Struthio camelus: one gene and its partner. Each later gene encodes a partner of the first gene's protein in a complex. Links are inferred from orthologs where the notes say so. Each region holds a gene or a part of one and is shown in the gene's direction. Other genes may lie near its edges.

Region 1 (6,908 bases):
TAAAGAATAGGTTTGGAAAACCTAACTGTTGGGAGGTTAGGACATGAAGAAGGCTAGAGTTGAATGTTTTCAGCACAAACTTCTTTTACACTGCTGCTTGAAAACCAAGTCTGTTCTACTTCTGTTGGTATAGCTGAATTGAAAGTAAGTTACCCTTATACAAAGGAAATTATTTTCCTCTCTGGCTTTGCATATGAACTTATGTATTCCTGGTAGCCTTGAGGCAATAAGCCTGGAAATAGTCCAGCTTCATAGTATGCTAAACTGAAAATTGCACTGAACTTGTAAGCAAATTCAAGCAGACACATTCTGCAAGTGTCTATGATCCTGTAAGAATATTGTTATATTTCTTTTATGTCTAAAAAGGTAAGTAAGTATGTTTAGGGATTATTCCCTTATTCCTTTTGCCTCAGACTGTGAAAGAAATATAATTATTTCTCAGAAGCAGTGTAGTTATGACAGGCTGCAGCCAGTGATTTTTTTCAGTATCTTGATGATACCGACCAGTGCAAACTAGAAATTGTGCTAATGTCCACCACTTGTCCTTTCTGTACCAGCTAAGGAACAACTTTTTTTTTTTTAAACTTTTGAAAGTCTCAGTTTAGTTCTTTCAGAAAGAATTTGCAAAACTGAAATAAAATTAACTAAAACTGTTGTCCTCTAGAAAGCAGTCTAAGTTAAGAGGCCATTAATTAATTGTGTAGAGAAGCTAGTGTGGTCTCATACCTTTGCAAATAGAGCATTTGGGGCCAGGACTTGGATGTAATGACCAAGCACTGGAACTTTCATTTTAAGAATAAAGAATTCAAATTCTTTGCCATAAAATCACAGAGAGTTAATAATTGTTTCCCTCTAAAGCCCTTTGGGAAAGTGAGAGGTTTAATGGTAGGAGCTGCCTTGGGAATGTGGGTTTTGAAAAGCAGTCATTATTTCCCCAGCACTAAGCAATAAACAAATGATAAAAAAGCCAAGTATTAGCCACTGGGGAGGGATGTCTTCTGTCAGCTTCCATGGACCAAACAGCCCCACTGTAGCTGAGCAAACCCTCAGGCAACTGCTGCCCCTTTGATGTCAAAGCAAACACACCACTGATTGTGTAGCTCTCCATCTTAGAACTTATTTTGGTGCTAATTTAAAATTTATGCATGTGCTGTTAGTTTTAGTAAAGAAGTGAAATAAGTCCAGTTTTAGGAAGGCTTAATAATAAGATAACGCAAACATACGGCAGGGGAGGACAGGTCAACTGGATGTTGCAGGTCGGATGGATATTTAATTTCATGAGTTAGGTTTCTGTTCAGTGTATGGTGGTTAGCACCTAAGAAATCACTGCTACATTTGGCTCAATTTGGTCCTCTTATTGAGAGATTCAGTAGAGTCCAATGACTGAACTCATCCTGCTGCTTTTTGGAGGGAACAGCCTGGCCAGACTGTGATGTGTCATTTTAGAGATAGAAATTTTAAGGTTGTCAGCTTTTCTCCAGGGCAGTTAATATATCTCAGATTTGCACGTGGTAGATTCTGCTGTACACAAAAGAATGTTTGTGTCAGGATGTGGCTTTCAAGAAAAGTGGGGGGAGGGGAAGGCAGCTCTAGATTAATTGGAAAGGTCCAGACCAGCCACATTCCCTCCCAGATGGGTCATTCATTTTGTTGCTTGCTGCTGTGTAGCAGCTGAACTTAATGCCTTCAAAAACATTGAGGCAGTGAGAGAGAAACAGAGGCAAGCTCGCTAAACTTGAACAAAGCTCCCAGCCGTTTGTGCTTTTATTATAAGGCTTTCTCTTGTCATGATAGTTTATAGTCCCTCATTAACTTCTCCTGTTTTCTGGTCACCTGCATGAACATTTCTTGGAGGTATTAGGTTGATTTAAAAAAATCCCTCAACATGGAACAGATGCCTAAGTACATGTGAGTGAACGCACAACGAATGCAGGCCCATCACCCTAGATCTCCTGATCATTCCCACCTGTTCAGAGAGGTTGGCACGATCACCAGTGACTATCTCACCAACATCCCAGGTGGTTTGAGGATGAGCCACCTGGTTCCAATTAAGCAAAACCAAACTAAGTGAACCTTACCCTTTCAGACCCTCTGAATTTGGGTGAGCTTTTTAAATAACATCTTTGTTTAAACTTTAATTTCCCTCTCTGCCTTTTTGTTGTTGGGAATGACAAAAGGAAAAATAAATTGGATAGGCTATTTTCAAGGCATTTCTAATGATCTAAAGCGTAATCTTATAAAGATTCTCATAAGAGATTACCAGCTCAATTATTAGGACACATAAACGCGGAGAGACACCCGAATATTTGGCTTCTTGCCTGTGATACGTCAATATTTTCAGACTTTCCCATCACTATCTTATACAAGTTCTTAGCTCTATTTGTGCATTGAATCGACTGCATAGGATGAATCTCTAATCTTCTGGAAAATGTTTTTGGTGTTTCTGTATTTTGTTTTGTTTTTACATCTACTCAAATATCAAAACAAAAAGTCTGGATGAAAATATGAAGGCAGATTGTGTAGCAACTGAAGCTTTTTCCTCTTTTGTTGTGATGTGTTGCATGATTTGCTGAGTGATGGTGCGTTTGGATGGAAGCGGCCGTGGAATGTCCTGGTGTAACATCCCCCTGGTACAAGGCAGTGGGAGCCTCTGTTGTCCAGCTGGGATCTTGCTTCCTTGACCTGAACTTATCATTGCCTTGTTGATTGGCTCATTCCTGCACTGTCTAAAAGCTGGCTTGAATTCTTTATGTGTGGCTTCAAAACCAGACATGGATTTTACTAAAGACTGAGACTTATTTTTTCTCCTGGAAGGGCCTTTCTCAACTAATAGTCATGTTTTTACTACTCAGTATGTAAAATAAAAATGGATTTTGTAAAATTCTAACATTTTCCATGACTACACAAGTTTATGAAGTTCTGAAATTACAGTGGATTGTTGGTAGTGAGGAAGGGACTCTTTCTTGTGGAACTACAGTTTTCCTTCAGTGAATGAAGCACTAACTAGAGATGTTGCAGTGAAGGTACTGAAGACTGATAATTTCTGCCTTTTGCTATTGAAGGTACAACACCAGTAAGTTATTGTGCAGATGTTGTTTTCCAGGAGTTCATTCCGCTCTGATCAGGCTTTTGTGTTATCTTGGAGTGTAAATACCAGCTTCAGAGAAGAAAAGGTAGCCCATTAAGTTCTTGGCTAGCAGCCTGATCTTCTAAAATTTATCTACTGCTGTTTCTTCAGAGCATTTCTGTGCTAGCAAGGGAAGGAGCCCAGATGAAAGACTCTGGACAATTCACATCTTACTGTAAATACGGAGTGAAATTTTTTATCTGGTTATTCTGTTTTTTTTTTCTTTTCCTTTCCTCCATGGCTTAAAGTGTTAATTCTGCCCATTGAAATGTAATTTTATTGAGCAATATGAGCTGAAGACAGAATCTTCACTGCCATCAGAACCCGAATGCTACATAGGCTCTTTCGTGGGATGTGCTATAACTCATTTTGAATGTTGAAAGGAAATGGGCCTCCAGGGGAGTCTGAAGCTCTGTTCATTCAAGTTCTAATTAAAGTTTTCCCCTCTCAAGTTTCACTTTATTTTCTGGGGCTTGTGCTCCATGATGATTATTAACATGTGTCCCATGGTCAGGAAATCATTATACCCTTCCCCACTCCAGTCTTTCGTAGATATCTCCTGCTGCAAACCAAGCTGCCTGAAACTCCCATCTCCGAAATGATCTGAAGGTTGGGGCAGGTAGAAACTAAGGCTGCCCAGACATTTTCATGCAGCAAGATGTTTACCTTTGCCGGTACGCTTTGATCAGATGTTGCTGTCCAGTGGAGATGATCCAGTCCAGGATTTCTTCCAGCCTTTCCTTCGTTTTTTCAAGAGCCCAGGCCAACTCTGGCTTCCTATTCCAACTCCAGCAGGCTTATCTTTTTGGGGGCAGGAATTGTTAGTACAGTTTATCTTGCTCGCTGCAAGTCCTCCCTCTGCTGAGACATGTACTCGTGGTGCTGCGTTCTTTTTTTTTTTCCTCTCTCTTTTTTTTGTTTTCTTCTTGCTGTTGTTTTTCTTTTTAAATGTATAAAGTGAAGAATTCCTCTTCCCCACTCCCCCTTTCCACTCCAAAGAACCAACCTCCTGTTAATTAAACGCTGGAACTGTTGCTACTTTGCCAGAGGGGGAGAGTGAACCTGTGCCTGCATGTGTGTATGTGTAAAATAGATACAAAAATGTCAATGAACAGCAGGAAAAGTTCTGGGAGACCGTCTTACTACTATCGACTGCTCCGGAGGTCACGACTTCAGAGACAGCGAAGCAGATCCCGGAGCCGGAACAGGCCGCTTAGTAGGGGTAATTGCAACAACGGTTCTGTTTAATTGACAGTGCAAAGACGTACGTTCTGTTGCTTACAGGTAGCTCGGTGACTGTAGATAATAATGACCCGTGCAAATATTCATGAGTGTACCTGCTCCCTGTGAAGTGTGCATTGAGCTTTACAAAAGTCGGTTGCTTGTGCTGTGCTGCAGTCATGTAAGGGGAGGGAGAACTGTTTAGTTTTAAGAGCTTAGCTATGGGAGTACAGGCTTGGGTGCTCTTCCCAAGCACCAAGTTTTAACATGTTGTGTAACTTTAATTAAATTGGTCTTTTGAGTTATCCATAGCTCTTTTTTTTTTTTTATTGGTATAATTAAGGGAACAGTACTTCTCTAGCTTACTGGGATGTTTGGAGGCCTAATTGATGATTATAGAGATTTGAAAATCCTTGATTACACGATGGTACCTATATGCGCATTGCTAGAACTTGCTCGTCTTCATGAGCTAAGTATCACCAGGGGTTTCTACCTTGTGCAGCTGAGAACAGTTTAGGGATAGAATTTTCAAAAGAGCCCAGAGATAGTGCTCTCGAGCATTGTGAAAACCTATGGGACTTGTATTCCCAAATCACTTTGCGCTTTTAAAAATCCTGCTCTAAAAGGGCCTATTTGTCCTAAGCTGCAGGAGTTAGGTCCACAGGGTAATGTTTCCTTAGGGCATAGTCACTCATGTAGCTCATTTATTCTGCTCGTGGCAGCTACTGACCCAGTTGCATTTTAAAAATTAAGCTATTCTGGCTTTCTCTTGTCGTGTGAAATAAATGTTTGTTGGTGCTTATGCCTATCATTAAAGCAGTCAAAGAAGTGGGTATCTTTGCGTCATTTTGCTCTTGGAGTACCTATTCAGAAAGGGGAGAGGGTTGTGTTTGGCCTCCCTTGTGATAAGCCAGTCATATTTATGGTATCTTGAACTTTTTGGTGGGTATTAATCAAGGCCATTCATTTAAAAGATTTTTCTTGTCATTGTGTGAATAAAAAGCCATAATCAAAAACACAACCCCAACACCATATCCTCTATCGGGTGCTTGTTCAAATCCAGACTTATATTTGTCTTACTAGAGTTAATTCAAATGTACCCAGCAGATTTTAGAGTGGAATCCAGTATTGTGCAATGTCCTCTCTTCCTTTCCTGATATCTAGTACATTTTTCAGGATTTTGACTCATAACTGAGAAAACAATAGGAAGCTAAATCAGGCCCTGGGCTTCATCTTTTCCTTTAAGCAGACAGTGTTTTTCTTTCCATGTTTTTTTTCTGTTTTGTCTGTCAGGGAGAAGTGTTTGTAGACTCGGAAGCATGTAACAGCTCCTTTTCCCCGTTTATTTGTATACTGTTCAGAATCAAAATGTTTTACTGTCACTTCAGTTACTGTGACAAATGAAATGTGTTAGTTTCTGAAAGTAACCGAGTATGAACTTATGGTCATCATTTGTCACGAACACAAGGAATATGCAGGCAAATTTGATTGAAATGGAAATCAGTCCTAATGTTGGTAAGAAATTGGATCTGAACCAACTGAAATCGTCTTGCTGTTGATCTATTTCTCTATATTTTGTTTGCCACAGTTTGTTTCTGGGATTTCTGCCTGCTAGAAGGATCATAATACTCAGCACTACTTCTAGCTCTTCTCATCTGCAGATCTTGAACGGATTTGCAAACCTGGATAAGAATTTTTTCTTTGTTTTTACATGCTTTCGTAACAGATTCAGAAAGCAAGCGGCAGAATGGTGGTGCCTTACAGCGAGGTCGTGCAGTAGGTCAGTGGCAGGAGTCAGTCTGGAGTCGCTACCTGTCACTGTAGTGCCCTGGCTGCCAGTCTGGAAAGAGTAAAGAAAATGCTAGACTAGAACAGAAGTATTTTTCATGATAGTTTTGTCCCACTGGAAAGTTAATGAAAATGAAACTTAAGGGGTATGGGAGCTGTGCAGAGGGCAGAGATCAGAATGAGGTTCTAGACTCTTTGGTGTTGACCTAATGTTAATTTTGAAAACCTACAAGGCTGGATGAAGGCAGAAACTGAGGGTCACCTTGTCAAATACTGATCTGCAGTGTCATTTGCTATCTCTATCTAAGATACATAAAGATCAGATGTCCTTAATGGGAGGTTACCATAAATTCATGAGTATTGGAGTTATTTCACATCAATTAGCCATGGTCTGTTTTGCCAGTTCTGTGTTTGCCAGCTCTGTGTTTGCTGTCCTTTGGCAGCTTTGTACTGTTTCTCTAGACCCTTTGCCAAGATCTCTGCAGTGCCTAGGTAGGCCTGTGGCCCTACTGGAGGAGCAGTGATACCTGCAGGTTGAGCTGTTCCAAAGTGTATCACTTGAGCAGTATGCTTTTGGGCAGAGAACTTGCTGAGGACCAACCAATTGTTACACATTTACTGGGGAGGAGGAGATCTCTGCTGGCAAAACACCCCTTCTTCCCATCTGGAATTATTCACTGTTGCCTGTGTTGCCTCAATCCTGGATGATAAATCCCTGATGCTGGAGCTGACAGTGGAGCACGCATGAGATGCAGCTGCTGCCATCTGCTGC
Region 2 (6,988 bases), on another chromosome or scaffold:
CACAAGATTTTGCCAACTTCACAGCGAAAAAAAGGAAAGAAAAAAAGAAAAAATCATCCATTCCTGTTACAGAATCATGACTGCAACTGTTATATGAAAGAAATGAGCCCAAAGTAATTTGTAGCTAAATTCAGATTTCAGTATTGCAGGATTTTCTCTGAGGAACTCAGATACTTTACAAAATGGTTACACATTATCTCTATTTTAGGTAGAGCGCAGAAACAGTAAAAAGCCCATACCTACAGCTGGGTAGGTATGCAGTCCCAAAACTTTCTTATATGTTGTCACTTCAAAGCAACAATCTTCCAAAAAAAAGGAGAATCCCATGGATTTTATTTTTTTAGATTAGCACTGCTCTCTATCCATCCATAGTGTATTTGCAGATGTCGTCCCCAAAAGAACCCAGTTCTTTAGACAAAACCCAGGCCAGAAACTGTCCCTTTCAGTGTGAAGAACTGTAGAAATATATGGTTAGCTCATTTCATAAATCTGACTTGAACAATTCACTTGGCACAAATAAAAGGGTAGTAATCTCCTGTGAAGGGTGGGAGGAAATTGATACAATAGCAGAATGGAATAATTACCTTAACTAAAAGCCTCTGTACAGAGGTAGGACCAAGTATGTGAAGACCATCCTGACAGATGCTGTATCATTTGGTCTTAAAAAACAGAAGTGAAGGAAATGCCATAGCATCCTTTGGTAGCTTGTTATATTCCTTACCTATTCCTACTGATCAGAATTGTTAGGAATTCAGCCTAATTTTTTTTGCTGCGCGTTAACCTGATTTCATCTTGTCCTTTTGCCAGTAGCTGTGGAGAATAACCACTTTCTGTAACAACCTCTTACACATCAAAATACAGTCATGTTCTCTTTTAATTTTCTGTTTCTTTTGACTAAGCAACTTAGTAATTCATTTTGCTTTCTCTTACAAGGCATGTTTTCCAAGGCTTTTGCCATTCTTCTAGCTTTCTTCTGGAGTCTCCTCAGTTTGCCTACAATTCTTGTTAAGTGTATCACCCAAGTAGGACACTATGAATGCACAAATTTATCATGGAATTAGTTGCTAAAAGTCCAAGGGAAAGATACCAGTTGCACATCTGGAGGTACATTATTCTAATGACAATCAGCAAGTGATCTAACAAGTTTAGTTGAGTAACCAAGGGAAGAAGGATAAAAGGAAATTGAGTGGTGACCAACAGATACTAAAGAGTATCCAAATTTTAAAAAACTCAGTTAGAACTAAAAATGTGGCCACTACATAGCACTGTACTATGTAACAATTTAGAAAACTTTTCTCTAAAGGTGGGAAAAGATTTTTCACTGAAAATAAGTATCTGTGACCATGGATTTGCAATAAGGTCTCTGTAGATGCAGCATCAGTACAGGACGAGCATACTGCAAGTCTGAAGATCTATGAAAAGCTTGTGATTCATTCAGCACTCCCAGAGTAAAGAGCAGAGTAAGTGCCAGGCAAGGTAATTTTTCTTGAAGTACATAAATATGCTATAAACTGTTGTTGAGTATGCATAAAAGCCCATTTTTGTGCTAATCCTCAAAAGACAAGATTTCTACAAATCTCATCTACAAAGTGATGGATCCTTATCTCAAACTCTAGCAGTTTTCAGTTATTCTCTATCAGGTTGGAAACTCAGCACATGAAGAATTATTTGTACATAGAAAGGAGACTGAGTATCAGGAAATGGCAGCCTCGCCAGTGGAAAAGATCGAATGCAAATTCACAGTAAAGGAAAGAATTCAGCTGAAGTAAATATTGTAATAAGTAATAAGCAAATAAAAATCCTCAAGTAATTCTTCCTGTGAAATAAAATGATTTTGCAAACAAAATGGCAACCCTAGAAAATTTCTAGCATCCTCGCTTCTTGTTTTAACCCCTTTTCAATAACAGAAATTGGCATCCCCCATAAAAAGGACAGATTATGCATCTGCAGGCTTGCTCAGGGAATTAAAATACAAAATAAAAGTCCACTAAGTTATAGGTGAAGAAAGTCATCATCAGGGCAATTTGCACTAGCAAGGACTAAACCCAAATAAATGGAGTCTGTAGAATTAGAGTCATTATCATTGAAATGTAAGGTATGAATACCAATAAAATTATTAATAAATACACCAAGCTATTACAATTCAAGGAAAATATCAATAAGCAAACCAATAAAAGCGTTGTCATTTGCAGAATATCTTATGATACCAGAAACTTCTGACAGTTTTTTCAAGTGGAAAACAGCAAAGATAGAATATTAGCTCTATGAGTCACTCAGACTTGTGTGAATGCTCAAATCTACTGCGCCCTACTTCTCCTTTTAGTAATAACAGAAAATGCATTGACTAGGAATGCTTACTGCCCTTCTCCATCATCTTAACAGTAGCAATATATTCCTTCCTAATGATATTCAGCTGACAGGGGAAAACTAAAGGGACTGCACACTGAAGAAGACTTTTTCTCTATCAAGTCTGAAAGGAGTGACTGTGCTCCAAATACGCTTTAGGAATATTTAAACAATCTGCTGTGTGAAAAAGAAAAAGAGTTTGCACAACTCCAAAGAGTAGAGCAGGGAGCAATAGAAAGACCCAGTCATGCTGTCACAAGCAACTGAAGGGGTAAAAAAGGGTCTTATTATTTAGCCTATTTGAACATTAATTTGTATCAAACAGATTAACAGTACTTAAGGTATAAACCAGCATGTCCTGTCCTGTAAAACCTCAGCTGAATAACTGAAATACAGAACATAATGTTCTCTTCACTTGTTGAAACACAAATGGAATCTGTCCCACTCACAGAGAAAACATCAGAAGGGCATTATCTACATCATCCCACTTCTGTCTGGTTTAGCGCAAGAATCAGAAATAGTGAGAGATGAACATTTCCCCAGCACTAACTGCTGAGTAACTCCAAAGAAGGACAAAGATATCTGCAAAATATAATAGTCATAGAACAAGCCTAAATGGATATAACTAACATTTCAGTTTACACTGAGGTCAAAGTTTGAGGCTAAGTATATGTTATACTTTGGTGTACTTCAAGGTTGAGGAAGCAGATGGTAGGCCGTATGACTCATTTCTGATATAAAATATTTCATTCTAAGGCAATAGCAGTGAAGAAGGGCAGAGAGAATACATTCTCTGTAAGGCAGAATTGGAATTAGCAGATGAAGGAGGAAAACAATCCATAAGCGGAAACCACCACTTGTTTTTGTTATCAATGCTCCTCATGCTTCACTTTTAATTCAAGACGCAGCCAAGGAGTTTTCATGCTTGAGAAGATCTGGCACAGCAGAAAGCTGTCCTTTGTCAAGAAGTTTCTTACTTTGAAATATATCTTTGCTTTACAGTAGTCTTGCTTGAGTCTGACTCAAAAGAAAGGAGTAGATTGGTGCAGGTGTTAAAGATGCCATTTAAAATAAAATGTTAAAAGGTTTTTGTCATTTTGTTGCTGTTTCACTTGAGCCCTTAGAATGTTGAACACCCTCTTGTTAAAAAATTTTCAAATGTTAACTTCTACATACTATCTTTTCTCAAGTTAGAGTGTTACTGAATAGTAATTGGACATTTTACATGAAGATATTTTTAACATTATGCTAACTGTCATTGTTTGCTCTTTGATGAGAACAGCTTTACACACTTTACTAACAGAACCAGTGAAAAGCCAAATTTTATGGAATAGATCATGCCCTCCTGTGGTAAAAATCATTAGAAGGGGATGAAAGTTTCATAGAACTCTCTAAGACATATCATATGATTTTTATGATTTTTTTTTTTTTACTGATGCTTAGGTCTAAGGATTCAGCTGTGAGTTATTGGAATGAGCTACATGGGAATTTTTTGTCCAAACTTCACTTTTTTTTTTCTAAAAAATGTCTGCTTACTTTAAATTAGAACTATTTAACAACAAAAGACATAAATTAATGTTCATTCCAAGAAGCTTTACTTTTACGGAAAAAAATGATACCGGAACTGGGCCTGTCCATTGTTCATGAGGAAGATGTTTTATTGAGCCACAGACCTGCTGGATCATTGCTGATGCTTGTGCATTAAGCGTCTGTCATTGCGGGAGAAGTCTAAACTGAAAAGCTAATTGAATTAAAATCAGGAGTGTGTCTGCCTGCAACGAAGAACATGACCTGGTAATACAGAGCTTAGAGGAACTTCCTTGCATTCCCAGAAGGGTCAGAAAGAAACCATCTTGCCACAAAGATGGTTTTGTTTCGAAATTTACAATGCTGTTTTATTCCTGTCAGATTGCACAAAATGCTACCAAGTGTAAATCCCTGTGATATTGTTTTGAATGTTATTCATGTCTTGGTCCTAAGTGTATATTTTATACTTTCCTGTTGCTAAAATATCACTTACGATTAAAAAAAAATTGCAGGAACAAAGCTGAGAGAGCACAGCATGTTACCTTGTCATTGCTCCAACATTACTTGCGTACAATTTGTACCACATACGCGAGTTGCTATGTCTACTATACCTGAGAAAATTGAAAGTTCTTAATTCCAAAATTCTTTTAACATATTGGAAACTCCAAGTCCTGCTGCAGACTGTGAAGCATTCGGACACCAGCTAATGGTGAATAGCTGCGAGAAGCGTGGGGAGCCCCCGAGGCAGAGACCGCAGCTCTGCGCGCCACCCGCCGTCGCCCTCCTCAGCAGGCTCCGCTCCCCGACGGCGCCCGCCGCAGCGGACGCCCGGCAGGAACAACCTCCCACCCACCCGCTTCTCGGCTGCGTGGCCCAGGGAGAGCGGGAGGGAACAGACACCACCGACCACGGGGAGGTCGCTCCGCCACCCCATGACCCAGCTCGCAGCCCCTCGCGCGCTTGCCTGCCGCGAACTCAGAAGCCTTCATACTAGTAACGCTAGCAAATAAATGACAACGATAGAAACAATGACCGCTCACAGCGGGTGCAACGCGGAGACCTTTGCTTAACCTGTCCCATTGCCATGAAGAAACGCCCAGGCGTGGAGAAACAGCTCGGAAGAAGACGGTGGGCTGCAAATGCAGGGCAGCGGGCCCGAGGGGACAAGGCACGGGGCTCGGCCGGGGCTGGAGGTCGGGATCCCTCCGTGCCGGGAGGGCTGGACCCCCTTCAGCCATAGCGCCGGGGGGGCCCACCCGGGGCACCCGGGGCCCGAGGGGATCCGGGCCACCTGCTCACGGCCCCAGCGCTGGGCTGGCGGGGGCGCGGGGCAGAGGCCTCCGGGACACGGCGTACGGCAACCGAGGAAACCCTCGGTGCCTGCGGACGGACATACGGGAAAGCTCAGAGATGCCCCCTTCTAACTGTTGGGTGTCAGCTGAACGTTAACCCTCAAACTTGAAAAGCGTTTTCATTTTTAAGCCAGACGGCCCAGGCCCTGCAGTTCAATGGCAGTCGGGTCAACGTGTACCCTTCCACAAACGGCAGTGTCATCGAGTGGTCAGAGCGCCCCCAACAAAACCCGAAGGCGGCGAGCACCGAAGGCTCGAGGCTTATTTCCGGGCGAAGGAGGCGGCGGGGGCGGCCGGGCACGGAGCGGAGCGGAGCGGAGCGGAGCGGAACGGAACGGAACGGCGCGGCGCGGCGCGGAACGGCAGGCGCGGGGCCGGCGCTCCGGCCGGCGGCGGGGACGGGTGCGCCGGGGACGCCGCGCCGCCGTTTCTTGCCCGCCCCCGCGGTTGCTGCCGGGATCCAAGATGGAGTCGCTGAGCAGAGCGGGGCAGGAGATCAGCCTGGCGGCCTTAAAGCAGCACGACCCCTACATCACCAGCATCGCCGACGTGACCGGCCAGGTAGCGCTCTACAGCTTCAGCCCCAAGGCCAACGAGTGGGTAAGTGAGAGGCAGCGGCATGAGCGGGGGAGGGCGGCAGCGGGCGGCCCGGCCCGCCGCGGCCGTTGGGAGCTGCGGGGGGGGGGGCTCCGGCCGCCCGTGCCCGCCCCGGGCGGCCCCCCGCCGGGGACGGCGCCGGCGCCTTCGCCTCCGCCCTGGGCCGCTGCTGCCGGGGGGAGGTTTGAGCTGCCGGTGCCTCGCCGCGGCCTGCCGCCCGCCCCGTTTACACCCCAGGAGATGAGGGGAAGGCGCATCTGCCTGCGGGACAGTGGTGCTCCTTCAGGCCTCCTCGGCTCGTGGGGGCTGTTGCCGGATTGCCTTTTTTTTTTTTTTTTTTTCCCAAGTGTGATCTTTTGTTTTTGTTCTTAATGGGTAGTTCAGAGCCTTAATGTGGGGAGAACAGGAGTTGAGGAAATATTATTCAGTCTTGCATTAAAACACAGTTTTTGTCTGAGGCCTCTTGCTCTGTGGTTTAAGTGTAGTTGTCTCTGTTAGGTTAAAAAGGATATAGCTGAGGGTAAGAGCCTAGGTCAGCCCGCTTCTTAAAAGGTTCAGAGGACAGCTATCTTATGCCTTGCTCAGGACCTCTGACTGCTACTGTTTCATCTCAAAATTATAAAAACTTAAAATATGTGGAACTCAACTGATGGACTGCACTGGAGCTGTATGCAAGTTCCCATACGTATGTGTCACAAGCCGCTTGCAGATAGGAACAGCTGCTTTTGTTTAACTTACAAAGTATGAAGCAAAACAGTAGTACTTAGTTTTACACAGTGCTGGTACTTAGTTATATTGCTTTGTTGTTGTATATACTGTTGTTGTAATCGTTTAAATAACAATTATGAAGGACAACCTATTTGCAGACTAATGGACTTCAGTCCACGTTTAAAATAAGGAGTCAGGAGAAAGGTGTTCAACTCAGACCATTCATGCTCATAGAAGAGTTGCAGAACATGTCATATCGTGTTGATGGCATGAACAAAATCTTGTAGGAGATAGGTTTAATATACTGATTTTGCTAATGGAAAAAAAAAGTATTTTCTAAAAACAGGAAATTAGATTTTTATTCTAAGCTGTCAAGCTTCCTTGTGGAAAGACAAGAATATTATTCCCTGTAATTAAAATGCTGCACAAAAGCTACATGTTTGTGTGAACAAGCGTAA

Evidence for each region. Proteins that work in one complex are often made in the same cells at the same time.
Region 2: DAB2IP (region 1) and DCP1A share a complex: the UniProt entries of both Homo sapiens proteins name them as parts of the cytoplasmic complex. The link is inferred for Struthio camelus from reciprocal best matches to the Homo sapiens genes DAB2IP and DCP1A.

What each region holds. Positions count from the first base shown.
Region 1 is NC_090961.1:2,780,282-2,787,189, reverse strand, and holds the start of DAB2IP (disabled homolog 2-interacting protein), read left to right. Parts: upstream 1-3,887; 5' UTR 3,888-4,207; coding exon 4,208-4,349; exon of another isoform or gene 4,350-4,391; intron 4,392-6,908. UniProt on the Homo sapiens protein: Functions as a scaffold protein implicated in the regulation of a large spectrum of both general and specialized signaling pathways.
Region 2 is NC_090955.1:17,443,719-17,450,706, forward strand, and holds the start of DCP1A (mRNA-decapping enzyme 1A), read left to right. Parts: upstream 1-3,986; 5' UTR 3,987-5,381; coding exon 5,382-5,825; intron 5,826-6,988. UniProt on the Homo sapiens protein: Necessary for the degradation of mRNAs, both in normal mRNA turnover and in nonsense-mediated mRNA decay. Removes the 7-methyl guanine cap structure from mRNA molecules, yielding a 5'-phosphorylated mRNA fragment and 7m-GDP.